Linked DNA regions of Solanum lycopersicum. The protein of the gene in region 1 interacts with the protein of each later gene in a pairwise test. Links are inferred from orthologs where the notes say so. Each region holds a gene or a part of one and is shown on either strand. Other genes may lie near its edges. The genes, in order: protein SCAR2 and guanine nucleotide exchange factor SPIKE 1.

Region 1 (4,580 bases):
AGAACTCTTCATAATTTTATGGTTCAATTCAAAAGAACAACAATAGAACTTTTGGATGCAATAAGAAAATTTAGAGATAAACTTCAACTGGTATTAAATTTTAGAAAATAACAAAATACAAATAAAATTATATTTCACTAAATTATCTTAAATATATTTACACTTTTAAAAAATTATTAATTTATAGAAATTTTACGATAACTTTTTGTTGGTAAAAAAAGGAAAAGAAAAAAAAAGGTTCAGACGAGGCTTTAAATTTGGGTGGATTCATACGCTACGAAATATACACCAAAATAAATAAATTATTATTATACAATGTGAATAGGTGCAGGATCCAATACAAGTGCTCTCACTGTCTCACCGTGTATTTATAATTGTTATAGTTTTTTTTTCAAGAGTTAATTTATAAATCATTTTATTAATATTTTATAATATATTTTTAAGTCATATTAATATATATAAAAATTATAATTTGTATTATTTTTTATATAATTTCTGAATATATATATTTTTATTTAAAATATAAATTTATTTAATCTTATTAATTATAAAAATTATAAATTAACTTTATAATATATGACATAATAATTAAAAGCGGACAGAAGAAGAAGTATAGAATTAAGGAGGCCCACAATGAAAGGCATGACAAGCTCAGCCGCGTTTGTCCACCGTATTTTATTTGTCTGAGTCTTTCCGAAAATTCCCAGGTTATATTTAAAAATATACACACAAGTATAAAATATGAATTAAATTATTAACACCATTTAAAAAAATATAATTAGTGAAACAAACATTTTAAGTCTCCAACCAGATATATTAAAATTAAACTGAATAGTAGTTGAAACTTTCATCTACAATCAGTAACCAAAAAAAAAGTTCATAGGTAATTTTTATCATGAAAATTGTAATTTTTATAGGTAAAGTTTGTGCTTTTATCTAATAGCTTGCACCAGATTTGGTGAATTCGAACCAAATCTCTTACTTTTGTTGAAAATAAAATTTTAAATAATACTCCACTAAATATATATAATATTCATATATGATTAAAATTTTAATATAACTAAATCGTATAATTTTCAAGCAAAAGCTTCTCCACTGGCTAACGTGTAGTTTCAGTTTATCACTATCACATGTGTATTGAAAGAATACATTTTCTTTAATTTAATATAATTGATTGTTTTGATTTTCTCTAAATTATTTTAACTATAGTGGTATAAATTCACTTTTATTCAACAATTTAAATAATGATTCAAACTAAAAAATTTAAGATAAAATATTTATATATAATTATAAATTAAAAAGTTTAAAATTTGTGATTCCTAATAATGGTAATTGATTATTTTTATAATAATATTAGTTACTTTAATTTCAACTTCAGTAATTTAATTGATGATATAAGTTGTTAAGATTAAATATTTATATAACAATAATTATGAAATTACAGGTATATCAACTTACTTTATCAGTTAAGAAATTTTTATTTGTTATTTTAAAATTGAAATCAATTAATTTACTCGATATTTATATTTCAATATTATAACCATCTAAAAAATATGTTATACAAATTGAATAATGAACAATATATAAGATAAAAGAGCAGTAGAAACGAGTATTTAATATAGTCAACCGACCCTCTTCTCTGTTGAGTCCTCACCTCTTCTTTCAACTGTACATTCACATTCGCCTCAACTCTTTCTCTCTCTATAGCTACAATTACCAACGAAGATACAGCTTTACAGAGACTCCATTGATACTCCATGTGCATGAATTCAATGGCAAAAATGTAATGTTGATATTCTGAAGAGAACGTTTGATGAATTAGGGTTTAGATTTTGTTGAAAATGCCTGTGAATAGGTATCAGATTCGGAACGAGTACAGTTTGGCTGATCCGGAACTGTACAAAGCTGCTGATAAAGATGATCCAGAAGCTCTACTTGAAGGCGTTGCCATGGCTGGACTTGTTGGTGTTTTGCGTCAGCTTGGTGACCTCGCCGAGTCAGTATCTCCTTTTTTGTTTTTCTTGCTTTTATTTTATCTGATGCGTTTTTCGTTTTCAATTGGCTGATTTTAGAATTTTGTCGTTTTACAAGTGAATGCTTTCTGGATTTTTATGTTTCAATCCACCTTTATTTTCGTAATTTTGGATCGATATAGTTAAATATGCGAGTTGAGATAATCAGTATTGAAATCTGTTGAAATTTGGTAGTTGGAAGATGCTTTGTAGTTATTGAAAATGGAAAGTTGAATTTGTGAGTCCATTATTTGAAATGTTATTTGATTGCATTGTAGATTTTCTTTTTGTTGTTTTTTTTGACAATTATTGCATTTGTATAATGTGACTACTTTTTTTTATTTGTTGCTTTTTTCGGCTGTTTGATTAAGCATTTACAAGTAGTTCTGTTCTGGGTAAATTCATACGGAGTTCCTGTTTTTTTTATTATTTTAATCTAGATTATGCTTCTTAGAAGATGAGGGAATTGAGATGGTTTGGACTTACGAAGAGGAGACGTGTAGATGCCCCAGTGAAGAGGTGTAAATAGAGGGTATGAAGAGAGGGAAGAAGTATTTGGGAAATGTGATAAGACAAGATATGCTGTAGCTTTAGGTTACCAAGGATATGACCTTAGAAAGGAGGGTGTGGAGGACATCTATTAGGGCTGAAGGTGAGTAGAGTTTACTGTTGTATTGCTTAGGATGACTGATGTTTGCCATGATACTAGTTATATTATTGTAGTTCTTGTTTTTTTTAAAAATTTTTATCATTGTTTATTGTAGTTTGCAATCTATCCTAGTATGTTATTTATTGTGTTTCGGTTATCACATTACTTAATTGTTTTTTTTGGCTCCTTTTTGGTAGACTTTGCATTGTTTCCTTGTTACCTGCTATATTCTTTTCATTGTCTCTTTCTTCTTTGTATCTGGATTTGTTGCATTTGAGCCAATGGTCTTTTGTAAACGACCTCTCTACTTCCATGAGGTAGTGGTATGGTCTGCATACGTTTATGATTTAACCTTCCCAAACCTCACTTGTACATTTAACTGGGTATGTTGTTGTTGTATGCTTGTTAAAAAATGTTCAGAGTATGTAGAGCTTAATCTATTGAGTTGCTGATCAATTAATTGTAAGGCATAAAAATTTGGTAGTATCATTAAAATGTGGTGCCAAATATGGGTCTCTTTGCTTATACACTCTCCCTGTAAGTGATTCCTGATCACTTTATTTTGTAAAGAATGTACTACAGTTGTTCTGTTTAATTGTGGTAGCGACTAAAATGTTGGTTTTCTTTTTTATTGTAAAATTGAAGGTTTGCTTCTGAGATATTCCATGACTTGCATGAAGAAGTGATGGCAACTGCTGCAAGAGGTCATAGTCTAACGGTCAGGGTCAAGCAGCTTGAAGCTGATTTTCCTTTGATTGAGAGCGCATTCCTCTCACAGACCGATCACTCTTCTTTCTTCTATAATGCTGGTAAGTGCTAAGAGTATTTCATTGGCCAATAACACCATACAAATTCTGGACAACTTAGTATACTTGCTTTTTTCGCGCACTTTGATAAACTCTTCTTGCTTCTTCTTAATTCTGTACCAAAAGATAACTGTCCTTCCTAACTGTTTTATACATGTTTGTGGTGCATGTGTGTGTGTGCAGAGAGAGAGAAAGAGAGAGGAAGAGAGAGCATAGAAAGGAATATTTGTTTTTTATTTTCCTGAACATAGAATGTGGTGTGTATGAATATTAGTGTTTCTGCATCTGAAAAAAATGGATATTAGTATTTAAGCAATTTATTGAGTTCCGATATAACCTATTAGTGAAAGTGTTCGTAATAACCTATTAGTGAAAGTGTTCGTAATACAAATGTTATTTCAGGTACTGATTGGCATCCTAATCTGCGAATCGACCAAAATATGGTTACAAGGGGAGATTTACCTCGATTTGTGATGGATTCATATGAAGAATGCAGAGGTCCACCTCGCTTGTTTCTGCTAGACAAGTATGCTCTGTTTTTGACAGCTTTAGTTGCATAGAGTGTTAAACTTTGTTAGAACAGCGTTTGTCAAACTTAATGGTATTGTAACAGGTTTGATGTTGCTGGAGCTGGAGCATGTCTGAAACGTTATACAGACCCTTCATCCTTTAAAGTCGAGACATCCTCTTATGCATTCACAACTTCAGATGTTCAGAGGGAAAAGAAAACTCGCAAGACAAAGGTAATTAAAAGAAGAGAAACTATTACTCTTGTTTCTCTGCTACCTTTTGGTTTACTTTGGAATTTATATGAGTGACATGTTGATTTAGTGGTTTTTTAATGGCTTCATATTTGAGATGACATTTTTTCCTTTTTCTTCGGGCTACAATTGGGGAAGGTTATTAGTGGTACTATGATAAGTTCTTGATACTTTCTTCCAATTACTTGAACATTTATTTCTTTATATGGTAACATGTGCTTATGTGCTTGAGTCTCTGTCTATCTCCATCTTGAAGCTTTCTGAAACCATCCCCTCATATCTCCATCTTGATCCAGAAAAGTGTAAGGGAAAAAGGAGCAAACTGATCTTGCCCCTTAAAATGTTTAATTTT
Region 2 (3,827 bases), on another chromosome or scaffold:
TCTTTAAGAGTGGATAAATGAAGAGCATTGAAGATGTCCTGCTGGAAAAAAGAGTTGCATAGACGCACATGAAATGTGAAACTTCTCCATTCAAATCGGCACCCTTTCACAAAATGTTCAACACAATCTACTCAGGGATACACAGAGACATATCAGAATATCAGTGACGCCTAACCCATAATTTTCACGTACACAGAGAAGAGGTGTCCTAGTAGGGTATCTCACCTGTTTCAATATCAGTATCAGGACCCTCATATATTTGACTCTGAAATGAAGTCGGGCTGACGCTTTCATAGTGACCATACTTGTTCTCATCTTTTACCCAGTCAGTTCTGTAGCATTGCACAAGTTCATTTAAATGTGGCCACTGCTCCAAATTTTCATCAAGCTGCAATTAAAAGGAAAGAATAATGAGAGCATGACAATAGGACAAAGGAATTTATCAAGTGGTGATTCAGAGTGAAATGGTTTACCAGACAGATAATTTTTGAATAAATTGTCAATATAATATTTAATATCAAAGTGGGTACAGACATTATCTGCCTACACATTCTATCAACAATCCAAAAGAATCATACATAAATTGCATGACACAGCTATAAAAAAAAAAGAATACTTGATCAAGTTAGTAGCATAAACTGTGAATTGTAAATTCTGCGTAGGGTTTATGAAGGATGGCTTTCAAGCACTTAATAAGGAATATGTACATGTGCTATGCTACCCAAGTTAAACTGAGATTTAGCACCAAAAATACAGTGAATGTAACCTTTTTCTGACATATGAAAGATCGAAAGGAAAATCCTACCATAACATGCATTTCCATACAAAATATATTTTTTTTGAGAAAGTTAACATTTTATAGACAGAATACACCAATATTGTATTTTAGTAGTAGTTACATCTGGAGTTTACAGTAAGCAAAACCAAAGAAATCTGCCACCTATCCCTCTTAAACTATCTAGAAACTGAGTAATATCCTCCACCTTTTTGCGGAGTACATAGTTACACCCAAAAAAAAAAAGTTATAAGACAATTCAACTTCAGACTTTGGAAAGGGATGCCCTTATTTTCAAAACATCTTTGGTTCCTTTCCCTCCATATTGTCCACCAGATGCAAACAGGGAGAATCTTCTCTCTCTTTGTGGCCGGACATATTTCCTTCTCTACTCCAGTACGTTAAAACTTCGGAGGTATGCCTTGGCATGGACCAACTGATACCCCTTAAGTTAAAAAACACCTTCCACCATTTTCTGTCACTCTACAATGGATGAAGAGATGGTTTATTGTCTCTATTTCTCTTTCATAGAAAAAACACCTGGAACATAATTGTCCTTCCTTTTTCATTAGATTGTCCTGAGTTAGTACTACTTGTCTGGCTACTAACCAGGTGAAACAAGCCACCTTGTGAGGTACTTTAACTTTCCATATCATCTTCCAAGGCCATGGTAAGAGCATTGCAGCTGGCCGCTGATTTTACTGTGAATTCCCGTTATTGGCCCTCAACCAGTATATAGATTATCTTCATTGGGTTGAAAGTTGATGGCCTGCTCTAGAGTATTGTAGAAATCTGTTAGGCTGTCAATCTCCCAATCATTAAACGTAAAACATTCTCCTGAAAGAGAGGTTCCATCTTTGGCTGTCCGGCTGTCCCTGACCTCTGCTACTGTTGCCTCCTTCTGTTGGTTCAAATTATAGATCACCGGGTACAACTGTTTTAAGGGATATTGACCAACCCACACATCATTCCAAAATGATGTCCTCCTTCCATTACCTATTATAATTCTTGAGTTTCCCCACATTTTAGGCCACTGATTCCTGATTGTTCTCCATAGACCTACCCCATAAGGGCTTCTAACTTGCTTAGTGATCCATAAGCCTTCCATTGTGTATCTGGAAACTATTGCATCTTCCACAAGCCTACCTTGTTCTCCTGAGAGAAACTTCCGTAGCCACTTCAATAAGAGACTTCGATTCTGTACTTTTGAGGTTCTTTATGCCCATTCCCCCTTCCTTTTTACTGTTGGTCAATTCTACTATGGAAAATTGACGATGATGTCACACATCATATTGGTGCGGGTGGATAAAATGGAGGCCCACATCAGGAGTCTTGTGTGATAGAATGTGCCACAAAAACTAAAAGGTAAGTTCTACAAAAAGATAGTTATACAAGCTATGTTATATGGGGCAGAGACTTGGCCTATCAAGAACTCTCATGTTCGGAAAGATGAATGTTGTGGAAATGAGGATGCAGAGATGGATATGTGGACATACTAGGAGACATAAGATTAAAAACAAAGATGTTCGGGACAGGGTGGGAGCAAACCCCATGATGGACCAAATGAGGGAAGTGAAGCTGAAATGGCTAGGGCATGTGAGAAGGAGATGTGCATATGCCCCAGTAACAGGTGTGAGGGGTTGACAATGGCAGATTTAAGGAGGGGTAGAGGGAGGCTGAAAAAGTATTTAGGAGAGGTGATTAGAGAGACCAGGATGTCATCTTCAGTTTATCGAGGACATCACATTAGCTATAGGATATGAAGGTTGTGAGAAATATTATTGAATTGTGTACCTACATTATTACACTAAGACACTACATGACACCTTCTCCAAGTAGGATACTATATACAAAGCATACTCTTATTTCTATTTTAACATCCCCCCTCAAGTGGGTGCATAGAAGTCATATCGACCGAGCTTGCTACAAATGTAATTAGCAGTGATGGACTTGCTGAAAATATCTACAGACAGATCACTCAACTTCACAAATTTTGCAATAATATCTCATAAGAGTATCTTTTCTTTGACAAAGTAACAGTTAATCTCAATGTGCTTAGTCATCTCATGAAATACCGAATTTGATGCAATGTGAAGGACCACTTGGTTATCACATACAAGTTCCATCTAGCCGGCTTTTTTACAGTTGAAAGAGTTGAGACGGGTAGTAGGATGACAAAAGAGGTACATGGCAAAAGAAGGACAAAGGTGTCAATTAAGAGTACACTTGCAAACATCCTTACATACTTCACTTTCATTGTTTCACAATTTGGTCAGCGTACTAGGTATTAAATTGGAACTGTATAAGAGGAATTTCCAATAACATTCAACAGATTTGGCTAGGAAGTTCCACTTAATCCGTCAAGAATAGATAAAGTCCCCAAAGAATTGAAATAACTGGTTAGGGAGAAAGACCTCTAACTTACAACAAGGCCGTATTAAGAAATGCTAATGGAGATTCAAGCTTCAAGATTGAAAAATATGTCAAGGAATTTTTAAGAAAAAGGTATGAAATTTGTGTCGGGTAGGCTGCCTACACAACACCCAATTGGGATGCGGCCCTTTCAAGGACCCTGTATGAACACACAAAAGCACTGGATCGCCCCCGCCCGCTTGCTAGTTTACCTTAGTATGACAATAAACACAAATGAAACTAAAACCTTGTTAGAAAAATTCTTAGATATAGTAGTCAAAATACACTTGTAGCCCTATTCACGACCATTCTATGAATTCAAATGTTCTGTTGCTTCCTTCCTTAAACAGTCTCTAGCACAAATATCTTATGTTTGAATTTTGAGTACTAAGTAGCATTTTCATCCCTATATTCCTTTTGTCTACACATCAGCTTTCTCTAGTATCCCCACCACTCTCAAAATATTGAGGACTCATTCTATCTCTTCTCAATGTGATTCATCTTTGAATTTATGACCCTACTCAAACATAGAGAAGACGAATATCGCGTAACTCCTTTGCTTGAAGAGTTCTCATTAATCTAAATTCTAAGCAACTATATTTATGACCCCAACTAAAGATTTCTAGGCTAATCACATTTA

Evidence for each region.
Region 2: the proteins of protein SCAR2 (region 1) and guanine nucleotide exchange factor SPIKE 1 interact in binary tests that used the Arabidopsis thaliana proteins (3 or more experiments, as listed by UniProt). The link is inferred for Solanum lycopersicum from reciprocal best matches to the Arabidopsis thaliana genes SCAR2 and SPK1.

The regions. Positions count from the first base shown.
Region 1 is NC_090808.1:7,931,000-7,935,579, forward strand, and holds the start of protein SCAR2, read left to right. Parts: upstream 1-1,609; 5' UTR 1,610-1,841; coding exon 1,842-1,996; intron 1,997-3,306; coding exon 3,307-3,470; intron 3,471-3,869; coding exon 3,870-3,993; intron 3,994-4,080; coding exon 4,081-4,210; intron 4,211-4,580.
Region 2 is NC_090807.1:7,355,678-7,359,504, forward strand, and holds part of guanine nucleotide exchange factor SPIKE 1, read right to left. Parts: intron 389-3,827; coding exon 226-388; intron 1-225. UniProt on the Arabidopsis thaliana protein: Guanine nucleotide exchange factor (GEF) for Rho and Rac. GEF proteins activate small GTPases by exchanging bound GDP for free GTP. Controls actin polymerization via the two heteromeric complexes WAVE and actin-related protein (ARP) 2/3.